2 linked regions of the Struthio camelus genome follow. The protein of the gene in region 2 binds, or shares a complex with, the protein of the main gene of each other region. Links are inferred from orthologs where the notes say so. Each region holds a gene or a part of one and is shown on either strand. Other genes may lie near its edges.

Region 1 (7,816 bases), on a different chromosome or scaffold from region 2:
CAATAAACCCTCTTATTGGTGGAACTATTAATCATAGCATAGTAGGTAGATCCGATACAATATATTATATCAAAGATAGAGAACTTTGAAATAAAAGAAGTAATACTACATTTTCAGAGAGTGTGTACAGCAATACTAGGAAATGAACTGACTGCAGGATTGAAATGATACACTGCTGACAGTTTGTACCAGTAGGAATATGACATTCAGAAGAGCTTTGCAGAAAGAAATTAGTTGTTTAGCGCATTTTAAAGCAGTTTAAAGCAAAGGGGTCATTAAACGTTACTCTTAGGAACAGCAATAAGCAGATGCTGCAGTACCCTTCTGCTCTGAAAGCTCACAGTATGTTTTCTTCATTTTTCATTATCCATTGGTCCTTGGGCTAAGCTATTTTAAAGGGGCACACTAGAGTCCTGAAGAACGCTATGGTGACTCTTTTAATCCCGTCTCAGAAATGTGTGCTAAGTAAGCTGTTCAGTGCACCTCCAGTTGTTAAAACATGTGGATGTCCGTATTTACTAGGGCCACCTTTACAGAATTAAAAGAGCTACATTTTGCTCATGGTGATTTTGTGGGTAGCACGGTCATGCGGAGGTCACTGACTGCAGACTTTGGCAAGGATTGAATAGACTATGGGGGACCACAACTGCTCAACCTGGAGGTGCTTCTGTTCAAGTGGAGTAGCTAAAGTAAGCCTCTCACTGCTATCCTTGGTTAAAAGGAAATGATTGGGATAAAAAATGACTTACTCTCTGCACTGTTCCAGTCCATGTTCTTCACAAATGCTAAAATGTAATTCAATCATTATTTTAAAATATTTTACAAGGATGCATTTTAAAACAAGGAAGCAGGTATTACAGAGATCATTGTATATAATTTATTTGAAAAGAACAGAATCCTGAAATGTTCTACCAACTGTATGAACTAGGAGCCTTTAATTTTCCTAGATTTGTGGTAAAAAAAAAAAAAAACGATCCAAGAGCAACATTCATGTGACCAGAGAATTTGGATGCAGTTCTTTCTTGATGGAGACTTCAGAAAGAGACACAAAGGAAAGTATTTTCAAGAGCACTGAAATCTGTATTGACCTAACAGAAATCCACAGAGAAGGGTGGGACAATACGCAGTGTTCCCTCTCTAGCAATTTGGTATTGCTACCAATTTAGTGGATTTTAATTACAGTTGTTAGGTTCTGCCCAGATGTTCAGAATGAATAGGCTGAAGTCAGCCTTTTCTCAATAACTGTTGTTGAAATACTGTTGCAAGCTTTCAAGCACACACAAGAATAAAAGAAAGAAGAAATATAGATGCTTATTACCCAGTCTTCTATGTCTTGCTAAAATCTTTTTAATGCTTAAAATTTTACAGGAATATGTGATAAAAGCACAAAAAACAATTCAAGACCACAGCCTTTAAAGCAAATCTGTATTGCATTTTGCCTCATTTGAAAAATGATGACAATTTTATATAAAATATCTTTGGGAGTAAATCACAGAGGTTCGAGTTTCAGATAAGAAAGACTGGTCTTGCTCATAGCTACATAATGGCTTCTAATTTTCTGGTAAATAAGAAATAACAATGACTATATTCCAAAATTGCTTTTCATCCTGTTCAGGATTAAAGTAGGTCTCTACAACTCACTCTTCAGATTTAAGTAATTTGGAGAATTGTTGAGTAATCCTGAAGAAATTGTATCTGCGGCCACGACACAGGAGAAGTGTTTGTCCTGTTAGAGTCAGGGAAGAGGTATAATGTTCTCTTTCTATAGTATGCAAGTAGTTTTGAACTCTGCAATGGTATTAGTAAACCATATAGAAAAGCCAGGGACATTCTTTGCACTAACTTCAAGCAGTTTTTTTGCTCCCAGAGTGAGAGGACTAGGACAGTTTGGAATTTTCACTGAAAGAGCAGATAAAATTCAAATCGGCTCCTTACACCATCTCTCCCTTTGCAGGCTTTGTAATCTGTCATCCTTACTAGGGCATCACAGATGAAGGCAGTTATCATGAACTCCCTTTTGTAAAAAACAGAAAAGCTAACATTGTTCAACTAATTCTACCAAGAAGGAAACATAAATAAAAAGTAGTGAATTGATTTTTATATGCTATTTTAAGAATTTGTTATATAATTTTACAGTTGTTAAGGAAATGTTATAGCATCTGTGCTAATATAATATTTGAGGAAAATACCAAATGCGTAAAGGAACTGTAAACCAGACTGTAACTGGGTCAAAATATTCAGATCATTTTTCTTGGAAGACTCCCTCTTGTGGAAATCATTCTTACTGATTGTTTTGACCTATTTTTCTAGTACAAATCACCCCACATAAGGTATTGCAAATCTTTAAAATGTTTCTATTGCACTGTGTTATCTATTTACAAATTTAAACCTTGACAATAGCAGTTGTGAAGAAAAAATTTTAACTGACAGTAGTCACACAACTATAATAGTTTGATTTTATATCTTTCTACTGAGTCCTTGCTTTTTCTTATTCATAGATATTATGTACTTATTTTTTCCTGTAGAAGTAGCCAAAAAAAGAAGCAAGTTGTTTGTCACGTATGGTTTTCAGCCCGGTGAGAGCCTTCTGCCCACATGATCTGGAGTTCAGCATTCCACTGGCTCCCTGGTAGGGGAGCTGGGTAGGCTGAGTATTTATTAGGGAACAAGTGATTCACTGAAAGCAGCTATTTCAGAAAGCAGAGGATTCCCTATATATTGCTACATTGAGAAAATGGAATTAATAATGTCATAGTAGTTAGAGATGGAAATGTCCATTCTGGAACCATATTTCCATAGGAACATTAATATCACTGGCATGTACAGAAACTGTTCCATGCTGTTTTATGTGAAAGTGCAATTTGCATCTTGGACACTGAGACACAACAGAAGTTGATGCTTTCTATGATGTGCGAGATCCTTTAGTAATCTGTTAGGGGAGGAAGTTAGCTTATTTAAATTCAGTGTCAAGTATATATTTGGGCAGGGAGAACTATTAGCTCTTTCCAATTGCACTTAAGCCTTCATCAACTTTCAATTCTAAAATGAGTAAGTAGAATCTCTCTGCTTGCTTTAATTGAAGCTCTTGGCTTTTGTTGCACTGAAGCTGACAAAGCATCCTGTTCATTTTCAAAACCATAAATCATGCACTGAAAACACGCTGTGTGGCTGCCCTCTAGCAGCTCTTGTAATAATTTCTTTTTAAATAGAGCTGTAACCAGCTTTAACAGGTTTTTTAGGCCCTAAAGCTTTCCAAAAATACAATTTCAAAGGAGTTTCAATTAAACACAATGTAGAGTAAAACTGAAAATCTGAAAATTAGTCTGAAATACTATTACTCTTGATTTTGACTGTCTGAAGTTAAGTGTTTCTGTAATTTCTGTGTTCATATAATAGAAGTTTGTATGTTGAGATAAGAATCTAGGTAAGTTTATTGAACTGGAGATGCACGGAATCCTTCGTAATGTTACTTTTACCTCATGTTTTCATCTCAGGAAACATGGATATTGTAGTGCTTTCTAGCTAATGCGTTAAATATTTTGGAGTCTTCCCTTTACGCTTGACTAATGGTCTTGGTTCTGGGATAAAACACTAGCTAAGGCTTATTTATCTCAAAATTGTACTTACTGGCTGTATCATTGGTGGGAATACCCTGCAAGCACTTTTCTTTTGCTTTGTTCTGTGAGCTTGAACTTTTACAAAGGTGTTACTCCCCGAGGTGGCTGAAACAAAAGAATGAGAGTGAAGGTCTTTGTACTGCGTGCTTTGTGCACAGCTTGTGTTCCTAGGAAAGACCCTGACTTGTGCTTGTAGGTCAGATAAAAAAATAAATGTAGTAATTTGGAGGCAGCTACAGTAGTGACTTTTCAGGTGGGAACACCAAGGGCCAAAGGGCAGTATGATTTCCTGTCTGGTGGGCAGCTTCCAGGAGTATCACTTTACTTTTCCACAGTGGAAAAGTGGAAAAGCTGAGATTTTCTTCAGTGTTAACACTTGCTCACTCACCTTTTGCACATACAGTAGATTTAAGCAGTATGTTTATCACATCTGCATACAAAAGATGCTTTCATTAGTATCTCATGTTATTTTTGTTCAGTTATTTGTAATCTGTATTAGAACGTAAAGCTGCATTACTATCCAGAGCCTTTTTTTTTTTGAACGTTCTAGTCATAGTATCGATGTTTTATCATCCCATATTGGCACTTTTACAACACATCGCACTTGTGTTACTCCGTAGGTCACTCCAGTAAACCATCATCTTTCCGGGAGGCCTGGATGTGGCAGCACCTTTGCCAGACTGAGGTTCCCTCCTGTTCTCTCATCGGTTTGGGTAGAGCGAACGTGCGGGCTCACACCTGCCCCTCGACCTAGGCGCAACAAGACGTTGGACTGTCGCGAGACCCTCCCCACAGGTCTAATTTTGAGACCTTCAGGTCTCGTTTTTATGGTGTTTCTTGGCCTATGTGTGCTTTTCTCGTGTCCTTCCCCCCCCCCATCAATTTGGGCTGCTGGCACCCGCTGGGCGCTCCCGCGCCCGGACCCGCCCGCCCTCACCTGGGCGGGCTCACGGCTCAGGACGCTCACGGCAGGCGGCTCCGCTGCGCCATGGCGCCCTCCTGAGGAGAGGGGCGGGGCCGCGCCCGTGAGGCGAGCGCCCGTGAGGCGAGCGCCCGTGAGGCGAGCGCCCGTGAGGCGAGCGCCCGTGAGGCGAGCGCGCGAGCAACCACCGCCGCCCCGCCCGCCGCTTTCCCGCCCGCCCTTCGGCGCGCGCCGGAGCGGGGCGGGGCGGGGCGATGGGGCGGGGCGATGGAGCGGGGGGGAGGTGGGGGGGAGAGGTGCGCGCGCTCGCGCCTGGCGCCGTGGCCCGCCCCGCCGGGAAGGCGGGCGCCGTGGGGCGCGCGGCCTCCGCGATTGGCTGCGGCGCGGGCTCTCGCGCCCACCTTTGTGCGGCCCCGGCGCCCGTCGAGAGTGGGAGGGGAAACCCCGTGCGAGGGGCGCCGCCATTTTGGATAAGGGTTGGCGGGGGCGGGGGGAGGTGATGGGGGCGCAGTGGAGCCAGCGGAACTGAAGCCGGAGGGAGCCCCAGAAAAAGGCGGAGACTCGGCCCGGCCGCTGCCCTGCCCAACCCAACCCAGCCCAGCCCGAAGCGGAGCCGCTCGCCGTGCCCACAGCGGGGACCGGGCTGCCGCCGACAGAGCCAAGCTGCACAGCCACCCGCTCCCCGAGCCCAGGTGAGGTGGAGCCGGCGAGAGGCGCCCGCCCGGCCGGGCCTAGAGCGCGCTAGGCCCCCGCGGCGGTGCCCGCCGGCCGGTTCCGCTCCCGGCCGGGCCCTCGCGGGCCTGCCGCGGCGGGGGGGAGCTGCAGCAGGTCGCCGTCCGCCTCCCGACCCGCCGGGGAGGGGGGAGCCCTTCCTGCTGCCGCTGCCCGCGGCCCGGCCTAGTCGGGGCCGCGGCGCTGCCCAGCCTCGGCCGCTCTCCCTCGTCGCCCGGCGCCGCGGATGCGTGTGGGGCCGCGGAGGGTGAGGTGGGTTGGGCAGCCGCTAGGCCTCGCGGCGCTGCTGCTGTTGGTCGCCGCCGCCTCCCCTTCCCTCCTGTGCGCCCCGCGGGGCGCGCCGCCATGGCGCACCTGGGGCCGGGGGGTGCGAGCGCGCCTCACCTGCCGCAGCTGCGCGCCTCTGCTAGGCTGCCTGCGCGCCCGCTGTTCTCCGGGCGGACCCGTGCTGTCGGGAGCTCGGGTAGAAAAATAACCTTCATATTTAAAAAAAAAAAAAAAGGCAACAAATCTATGCCACTTCCTATTTGAGGAAGTGGCAAAAGCATTCTAGACTTGTTCTGTTTTTTCTTTTCTCAGCGACTCTTCTGTCCAAACAGAAGAATGAAATTGCCTTTTTTTTTTTCCCTCCCCACCTCGTTGCCTATTGTCTATTTGCGGTACCTTTTTTAAGGATTCTGTGACACCCGTGGATGGTTTTGTCTTGAACTGAAAACATACTGGCTTCATCCTTGCAGTAAACACAGGAAAAAGCACCTGTGTTGGGGTCTGTCTTTCTTTCCTTCTATGGGTGTATTGCTCTTGAGATTATTTGATGTGGATTGTGCTTTCTAGGTCTCCAAAAGGGAGTGAATCTCTGAAGGAGAAAGGTGCTTTGCACGTTTCTGAAGATGTAAAAGTGCCCTTTTATGAGCAAGATTGATTTAGGACAAAGACTACTTGAACAATTTCAACCCACGAGTCAGAAATTTAATTCTTTTAACACCTAAATGTTTTCATTTGAGATGCATTTCTTCTGGGATCTGTTTCTATCTCAGTTTGGGTCGAGGGCCTGTTGTGCTCGAGTGTTACGCGGGCATGAGCAAGAAAATCCCACTCTGGAAGACTTCATACCTAAAAATCAAATAGTTGAATATGCTTAAAAAGGAAGCTGCTAGCTTCCTGTAGGATTTGAACCTGGCCTAGATCTGAGTTGTAGGAAGAAGCTTCTCCATTCTCTTCCCATTTGGAGAGTCACCCAAAGAAAAAAGTTATTGTGAAAGACAGCAATCTGAAAACAAACCTGTTATACTAGAGGTACTAGGATTAAAAACGTAAAGAGAACTTTAAAACTACTTGCTTGTTCCTGTGTCTCTAATGGAATCTACTTGTGAATGGTTCTCATCTTGCTATTTTCCTTACTTAATTTTGTTCAAAAATATACTTCTTCCAAGCTGATGACTCTAGTTTCATGTATTTCTATATTGATTTATTAGACTAACAGCATAACTCTTCTAGCTTCCATATTTGCTATCTCCTAAGCTTATCTGCTACCTGTCTGAAACTTAGTTCTGCAACCTCAAGACACATGGTGCAGGTTGAACTAGACTTCCTGTTATAAAGAGGAAAGTGGGTAAATGAGGATATGCAGATGGATAAAGAACTCCTATGGCTAAAAGCAGGCATTGGAGAGAGTGCTCTCATTGAGTACAGGTATGTCATATTTAATTTAGCTGGGGTGCTAGGTGTGGTTAGTAAGAAATAAGAGGTGGGTGTGTGTATATAAATACAAGAAGTTTCAGAAACAAAATGGGGCTTGATAGAGCAGGATGTGAAAGCATTAAAAGGATAACAAATACAATTGGAGTAGGACTGGATAACTGAGGAAAATCAAAAGATGAAGATGGTTTGATATGTAGTCTTGATGTGTGTGTGGTTTTTAAGGGGGAGGGGTCAAAATCATCATATAGGAAGGGTGGTAAAGGGCTGTGGAATTTCTAGGAATACTTAATAGACCTCAGGTTGAGTTACGGTGTTTTACATGATTAAGGAATGCAGCAAATGCCCTTCTTCAAGAGCAGCTTGAAATAAGGGTCTGTACAGGTGTAAGTTTGGTCTAACCCCGGGAGCCTGTAGGCCTTGTGTGTGTGTGGTTTTGGTGTGTGGTTTTTTTTTTTTTAAAGGAAGAATAACTGGATGTGGAGATAATGGGAACATGTGGAGTGATCTTCAAAAGCAGATCAGAAGTAGTTTGTCTGGTTGGTATCTCTGCTTGTCACTAGTCACTTTACTTCCTATAGGATGATCAGTTCAGCCAGTTTTACTCTCTTGTGCTCTACCAGGTGCTTTACTGAAGCCCAAATGGGAGAACTAAACTAGAGAGGATGACTTCAGAAGAACTGAAGAATGAGTAAGGAACTAGCCAGCGAGAAGCTATGCTGCCAGATAGATGTGAAAAGGAAAGTATTGGGTTGCTAGCAAGCTTCTACTTAGATTCCTCAAGGATCTATCTTAGAAGAGGACTCTTTTAAAGACAAGCCAAATATGTATATATTTGGCTTGATTT
Region 2 (7,362 bases):
GACTGCAAGGAGAAGAGTGCAAGATGCACAGAGATGGAGGAAATAAAAGATTAATTGGCAGCTTTTTTTTTATTCACTTAAAGTGTTGCCTGGAGTCCTCAAGTCAGATTCAGAGAAACTTTATCAGAGGGATGCTCGAGGAACTGAACGGAGCCAGACGCACCTGATAGGGGCTCATTTCCCAAAACAAAAGCAACCTGCCGCCTAACACAGGGCCTTGTGGCAGGGCAGAGAGACGCCTTGTTGCTCCTCTGTCCCCAGGAAACTCTTTTCCCGAGGGGCGGCCGGGGCTGCTGCCACGGAGCCTCGGAGCCTCGGAGCCTCGTTTCCTTTTGTGCTGGGCCTTTCTGCCGTAATTAAATGTCAGAGAAAAATGTCACGGTGCTGAAACAAAAGCAAAGGGCCGTTAGGTGTTTGACTGACAGAAGCAGAAAGGAACGGGTCCTGATGCCTGGGGAAGAGGCTTGGCTGTGGCTTTTGTGCTGGGCTTTGTGGTGGCTGCGGTTCCGTGTGGTTCCCGGTTCCCGTGTGGTTCCCGGACTGGCGAGACAGCAGGGCTCCTGGGGACGGTGAGCAGCAGCCTGCAAAACCCGCCGCGATCCGCTCTCGGGCCATGGGTGCTCGCAGCCCGGAGGGGAAGCCATCCGAGCGCCGCTGTGGGTATCCACCCCTGGAGAAAGCGGCTGTCCAACCCCATCGGCGAATGAGCCGGGGCGCGCAGCTAGCAGCCCAGCCTTACCTGGGCCACCCTGCGCGACGGGGCGGGCTGCACCGGGCACCACTCACCGTGCGTCTCTCCCGCAGGTACTACGCCACCGTGCACCCCCTGAGGAAGCGCATCTCGGTCACCAGCTGCGTCTACGTGGTCGGGGGCATCTGGCTGCTCTCCTGTGCCCTGGTGGCACCGGCGATCGCCCACACCTACCACGTGGAGTTTCGGAGGGAAGGCTTCGCCATCTGCGAGGAGTTCTGGATGGAGAAGGAGCAGCAGCGCCTGGCCTACGCCTACAGCACCCTCATCATCACCTACATCCTGCCCCTCTCAGCAGTCTCCCTCTCCTACATCTGCATCACAGTGAAGCTGAAGAACCGCGTGGTGCCCGGGCACCCCACGCAGAGCCAGGCCGAGTTTGACCGGGTCAGGAAGAGGAAGATCTTCCGCCTCATCGTACTGGTGGTGGCGGCCTTCGGGATCTGCTGGCTCCCCATCCATGTCTTCAACATCATCCGGGACATAGACATCAACCTCATCAACAAGCACTACTTCCTGCTCATCCAGCTGCTGTGCCACTGGTTCGCCATGAGCTCCTCCTGCTGCAACCCCTTCCTCTACGCCTGGCTGCACGACCGCTTCCGCTGCGAGCTGAAGAAGATGTTCACCTTCAAGCAGAGGATCATCCCCACCAATAACTGCGTCGCCGTGAGCGTCATGCTCTGAGGCCTGGGCACGGGGTCCCGGCTCCCCTACGCCCTCCCGCTCCTCGCAGCCTCCGCGCACGCACGGGTCGCTTCAGCCAGCGCTCCGGGCGCCCTGCCGCCTGCCCCAGCACCTCCTCTGCTGGGACGCAAACTTCAGCAGAAGGAAACCCTTTCCTTGCCCAAAGTCCAGCCTGGGGGAAGCGTTCAGCGTTCATTCAGCAACGCGCAAGAGAAATAAGCACGCGGTTGCCAGCCCAGTCAAACCCGCAGGGTCAGAGCGACGTTCCCCGCTGACGCATTGCCAGGGAGTCGTTAACGCTCGCGCGGCCCGTGACGGACCCGCCGAGGGACCCGAGGAACCTGGGGTCTCCGGGCGGCACAGCCGGGCCACCCCGCCGCGGCCTCTCCTCCCCGGCGCGCCCGGGCCGCTGGCCAGACGCCGGCAGAGCAGAGCAGCGGGACGACTGGAAACACAAGGATTTTCTGCTGACGGGGCCCTGCTCCTCTCTGGAACGGGCCCGGCTAATCCCCCGACAAAGGGGCGCCGCGCTGGGCTGCGGGCCGGCTGGAGCAAGCCCTTCCTGCCCGGCGGAGATGGGGAAGAGAAAGGGGGGAGAAAAAAAGAGGAAGGAGGCCGGGCAAAGCGGGGGAAAGCTCTGCGGGAGCGCGGCCGCGAGGCAGCGCGCGGGGGCTGCGCAGAGGGGCTGCAGGAGAGGCCGCGAAAGCAGCCCGAGCCGTCGCGCCTGCTGGGCTCAGCGCGCCCCTCGCCACGGCATGCTGGCAGGAGGCACGAGGGCGCCGCCGCCTGCGCTGCCGGACCGGTTGTGCCTCGTGCCGCGGCTCCCTGCCTTGGAGCGAGGTGCGAGCGGGCGGCAGCTCCCGGGGCCGGCAGCAGGCGAGGCGCAGCTGCACGCTTTGCTTTGGGCCTTCAAACACGTGGTTATTCCAAATTAAGCAAGGAAGTAGGCCTGCAGGAGCGCAGCGGAGGGGGTGAAAAGCATTTGGCTCCCGCGAGGGCTTGGGGGGCTGGCGATAGCTGCTGTTTCATTAACTGAATCGTACGGCTTTCATTAAATGGATCCTCAGGTGCTGGACATGGGATTCTCCCGGGAGTTTGTTTCCGCAGAAGCGTCAGCGCAGGCGAGGGGAGCCAACACCGACCCGGGGTCACCGAGACGGTGCCGTTAGCCTGACTGCCCAGGAAGGAGAAGAGAGGAGGGGAGAGAGGAGCGCGCTCCTCAGAGACAGAGAGCGGCCCCGGAGCTTGCCTCCTCGGCTGCTGGCTCAAGGGGCACCCGCGCGTCCTCGGTCCAGGCTCCCGGCCGGCGCGAGGACGCGTCGCTGCGGCTTCGGAGCCATGTTCATAGAGAGCGGCGCTAACGGGTGTCTCCGTTCACGTGTGGCCCAATGCTTCACGTCCCGTTTAGGGCGCCAAAACACGTGGCGCTCCCGGGCGGCGCGTTGTCCCTAGCAGCTCGCAGGGGGACGGGTGGGTTCCCAAACGGGGGCCGAGCTGCCCGGCGCCGGCCCGCTCCGACTTCTGCGCTCGCGACGACGGGGCACGGGGTGCCGCGGGGGTGCCTTCGGCTGTGTAACCCCCGGGAAGCAGCTGATGCAGGCTGCTCCCAAAGCGGCTGACACCGCCACACCCCGCTGTGCACCCCTGCAAACCCGCGGCACCCCCCCCCGCACACCCGTACATCCCCTGCACACCTACTGCACACCCCCAGTACACCCCCTGCACACCCCAGCACACCCCCGCACACCCCCACCTGTACACCCCCACACCCCCAGTACACCCCCTGCACACCCCAGCACACCCCCGCACACCCCCACCTGTACACCCCCACACCCTCAGTACACCCCTGCACACTTGTACATCCCCTGCACACCTACTGCACACCCCCAGTACACCCCCTGCACACCCCCACACACCCCCACCTGTACACCCCCACACCCTCAGTACACCCCCGCACACCCGTACATCCCCTGCACACCTACTGCACACCCCCAGTACACCCCCTGCACACCCCAGCACACCCCCGCACACCCCCACCTGTACACCCCCACACCCCCAGTACACCCCTGCACACTTGTACATCCCCTGCACACCTACTGCACACCCCCCGCACACCCTGCAGACCCCCAGTACACCCCCTGTATGCCCCCTGCACACCCTGCTGTACACCCCCCGCACACCCCAGTACACCCCCACACCCCCTGCAGACCCCCAGTACACCCCCTGTACACCCCCGCACACCCCAGTACACCCCCACACCCCTGCAGACCCCCAGTACACCCCCTGTACACCCCCGCACACCCCAGTACACCCCCACACTCTTGCAGACCCCACTGTACACCCCCTGTACACCCCCGCACACCACAGTACACCCCCACACTCTTGCAGACCCCACTGTACACCCCCTACACATCCCCCCACACCTGTACATCCCCCCCACACCTACTGCACATCCCCTGTACGCCCCCCGCAAACCCCCCACCCCAGTACACCCCCCCAACCCCTGCAGACACCCAGTACACCCCCTGTATGCCCCCCGCACACCCCCGCACACTCCAGTACACCCCCACACCCCCGCACACCCCCCGCACACCCCCCACACCTACTGCACACCCCCAGTACACCCCCTGCACACCCCCGCACACCCCCCGCACACCCCCCGCAGACCCCCAGTACACCCCCAGTACACCCCCTGCACACCCCCCGCACACCCCTGCACACCCCCCGCACACACCCCCCACACCTGCACACCCCCCGCAGCCCCTCCCCGCACCCCCCCAGAGGCCGCTCAGGCCCCGCCCCCTCGCCGGCCCCGCCCCCTCTCCGGCCCCGCCCCCTCTCCCGGCCCCGCCCAGTTCTCGCGAGAGCGGCGCGCGGCGGGGGCGGTACCGCTCCGCGCCGCTCCCCGCCGGGCCGGGCTGGACGGTCCCGCTCCCGCTCCGCTCCGCTCCGCTCCGCTCCGCTGCCGCTGCGCCATGGAGGCGGCGGGCTCGGCGGCGCGCTGGGCGCCCACGCACGTGCAGGTGACGGTGCTGCGGGCGCGGGGGCTGCGCGCCAAGGCGGGCGGCGGCGGCGGCGGCGGCGGCAGCAGCGACGCCTACGCGGTGATGGCGCTGGGCCGCGAGCAGTTCTCCACGTCGGTGGCGGAGCGCTGCCAGGGCCGGCCCGAGTGGCGCGAGGAGGCCGCCTTCGAGCTGCCGCCGCCGCCGCGCCCCGCCGCCCTGCGCCTCACCGTGCTCCACCGCGCCCTCGTCGGCCTCGACAAGTTCCTGGGCCGCGCCGAGGTCGACCTGGCCGCCCTGCGCGCCGACGGCGCCCGCCGCCACTCCGGGTGCGTCGAGGGCCGGGGCGGGCAGCGGGGGGGGGTCTGGGCGGGGCGAGGGGGGTCTGGATGGGGAGCGGGGGGGTCTGTGTGGGGCGAGGGGGCCTGGGGGGGGAGCGGGGGAGGGGTTGTGTGGGGCGAGGGGGCCTGGGGGGGGAGCGGGGGGGGTTTGTGTGGGGTGAGGGGGCCTGGGGGGGGAACTGTGGGGGGGTCTGTGTGGGGCGAGGGGGCCTGGGGGGGGGGGCTCTGTGTGGGGAGCGGGGCCCTGGGCGGGGAGCTGGGGTGGTTTGTGTGGGGTGAGGGGGCCTGGAGGGGGCTCTGTGTGGGGAGCAGGGCCCTGGGCGGGGAGCGGGGGGCTCTGTGTGGGGCGAGGGGGTCTGGGGGGGGGCTCTGTGTGGGGCGAGGGGGCCTGGGGGGGGAACTGGGGGGGTCTGTGTGGGGCGAGGGGGCCTGGGGGGGGCTCTGTGTGGGGAGCGGGGGCCTGGGGGGGGCTCTGTGTGGGGAGCGGGGCCCTGGGCGGGGAGCGGGGGGGGTTTGTGTGGGGTGAGGGGACCTGGGGGGGGCTCTGTGTGGGGAGCGGGGCCCTGGGCGGGGAGCGGGGGGGTTTGTGTGGGGCGAGGGGACCTGGGGGGGGCTCTGTGTAGGGAGCGGGGCCCTGGGCGGGGAGCGGGGGGGTCTGTGTGGGGCGAGGGGACCTGGGGGGGGCTCTGTGTGGGGCGAGGGGGTCTGGGGGGGGGGCTCTGTGTGGGGAGCGGGGGCCTGGGCGGGGAGCGGGGGGGGGTCTGTGTGGGGCGAGGGGGCCTGGGGGGGGGTCTGTGTGGGGAACAGGGGCCTGGGTGGGGAGCTGGGGGGTCTGTGTGGGGCGAGGGGGTCTGGGCGGGGAGCTGGGGGGGTCTGTGTGGGGCGAGGGGGTCTGGATAGGGAGCTGGGGGGGTTTGTGTGGGGTGAGGGGGCTGGGGGGGTTCTGTTTGGGGATCAGGGGCCTGGGGGGGTCTGTGTGGGGAGTGGGGGCCAGGACAGGGAGCTGGGGGGGTCTGTGTGGGGCGAGGGGGTCTGGATGGGGAGCTGGGGGGGTTTGTGTGGGGTGAGGGGACTGAGCAGGGGCTCTCAGTGGGGAGCTGGGGGCTCTGTGTGGGGAGCGGGGAGCTGGGTGGGAATCTGGGGGGGGGGTCTGGGCAGGGGCTGTGTATGGGGACCGGGGGCCTGGGTGGGGAGCTGGGGGGGTCTGTGTGGGGCGAGGGTGTCTCTGTGAGGAGCTGGGGAGGGGATCTGTGTGTGGAGCAGGGGGGAGTCCATGTGGGGCAAGGAGGCCTGGGTGGGGAGCTGGGGGGGGTGGTCTGCGTGGGGCGAGGGGGCCTAGGTAGGGAACTGGGGCCTCTATGTGCAGCGAGGGGGCTCTATGTGGGAATCTGGGGGCTCTGTGTGGGGTGGGGGGGCCTGGGCAGGGAGCTGGGGGGGTCTGTGTGGGGCGAGGGGGCCTGAGGGGGGTTCATATGGGGAGCCAAGGGGCCTCTGTGGGGCTGGGGACGGGCCTGGGGGGGTCTCTGTGAGGAGGTAAGGGCTCAGTGTGGGGCTGGGGGGGTGCATGTCGTGAGTTGGGGGCTCTGTGGGGCTGGGGAGGTCTGTGTGGGGAGTTAGGGGATCTGTATGGGTATCTGTGGAGCTCAAAGAGTCCTTGTCGGGAGTTGGGGGGGCCCACGTGGGTCTGGGCAGGGGCTTACGTAGGGAGTTGGGGGGCTGGGGAGGCCTGTGTGGGTGGGCAGAGTGGTGGAGCAGCAGGGGCTGGCTGGGTGCTGGGGAGGCCCCCTGTGCCCCATGGAGGGGGGGGGTCACCAGGGGTGATGGGGCCCTGTAGGTCGCTGACGGGGACCTCCTGTGTCCCACGTGGACCTCTACGTCTCGGGGGGCCGAGGACAGTGATGGGGGTGCCCTGTGTCCCATAGGGACCTCTGTGCCCCGTGGGAGACCCTGGGGTGGAGATGGGGGCCCCTTGTGCCCCATGGAGGGGTGCCGAGGGGCAGGGTCCCTCCTGGTGTGTCCGGTCAGGGGCCCCGTCGCTCGGGGGGTGCCTGCTGCCCTGGACGAGGCCGGGGGGCCCTGGCCCCCGCGGCTGCTTGGCCAGGGCGCGCTTCTGCTTTGGTCTTTGGGGGGGCTCTAATAGCCCGGGGAAACGTACCTGGTGCTTTTTTTCAGGACAGCCCTGCTCTGGGCTCCGGTTTCCTTGTTAACGTTGGCATATAAATATTTGACAATTTATGCTCAGAACAATGAATTTGACTAAAGAAACTTAGTGCGTTTGAAACACCTTCTTGATTTGGTAGTGAATGGAAGTACTATACAAGCTGACTGTTTATACGTGTTTCTTAACGAATACGCAGCCTAGTCATGCGTGAGAGTAGATAACTCGGTGTTGTATGGATTCACTTAACTATTGTTTGCAAGACACCAAACTGGGAGACTTTTCCTGTAATATTGAGTGCCAGATCTGTGTCATGCTTGCACCTTTTAACCTAAACACTTGTGGATTACTTTAAAATCGGAGGGATAGTTACCGTTTTGTTACGAGTCGACAGCATTAGGGCAGCGTGAACGTTCATTTGTA

The links. Proteins that work in one complex are often made in the same cells at the same time.
Region 1: the proteins of RAB11FIP1 (region 2) and RAB14 are in contact, whole or in part, in a crystal structure (PDB 4D0G), measured with the Homo sapiens proteins. The link is inferred for Struthio camelus from reciprocal best matches to the Homo sapiens genes RAB11FIP1 and RAB14. Residues at the interface, in NP_001002814.2 of Homo sapiens: Glu1252, Ile1255, Asp1256, Asn1257, Leu1259, Val1260, Met1263, Pro1267, Asn1268, Leu1270, Arg1271, Ile1272; in NP_057406.2 of Homo sapiens: Leu28, His29, Ile44, Gly45, Val46, Glu47, Phe48, Gly49, Trp65, Arg72, Arg74, Ala75, Val76, Ser79, Tyr80.

What each region holds. Positions count from the first base shown.
Region 1 is NC_090961.1:2,921,000-2,928,815, forward strand, and holds the start of RAB14 (ras-related protein Rab-14), read left to right. Parts: upstream 1-4,813; 5' UTR 4,814-5,231; intron 5,232-5,341; exon of another isoform or gene 5,342-5,518; intron 5,519-5,655; exon of another isoform or gene 5,656-5,719; intron 5,720-7,438; exon of another isoform or gene 7,439-7,508; intron 7,509-7,592; exon of another isoform or gene 7,593-7,660; intron 7,661-7,816.
Region 2 is NC_090968.1:6,998,159-7,005,520, reverse strand, and holds the start of RAB11FIP1 (rab11 family-interacting protein 1), read left to right. Parts: upstream 1-4,348; 5' UTR 4,349-4,413; coding exon 4,414-4,769; intron 4,770-7,362. Other genes in the region: prolactin-releasing peptide receptor-like, read left to right, coding at 805-1,438. UniProt on the Homo sapiens protein: A Rab11 effector protein involved in the endosomal recycling process. Also involved in controlling membrane trafficking along the phagocytic pathway and in phagocytosis. Interaction with RAB14 may function in the process of neurite formation.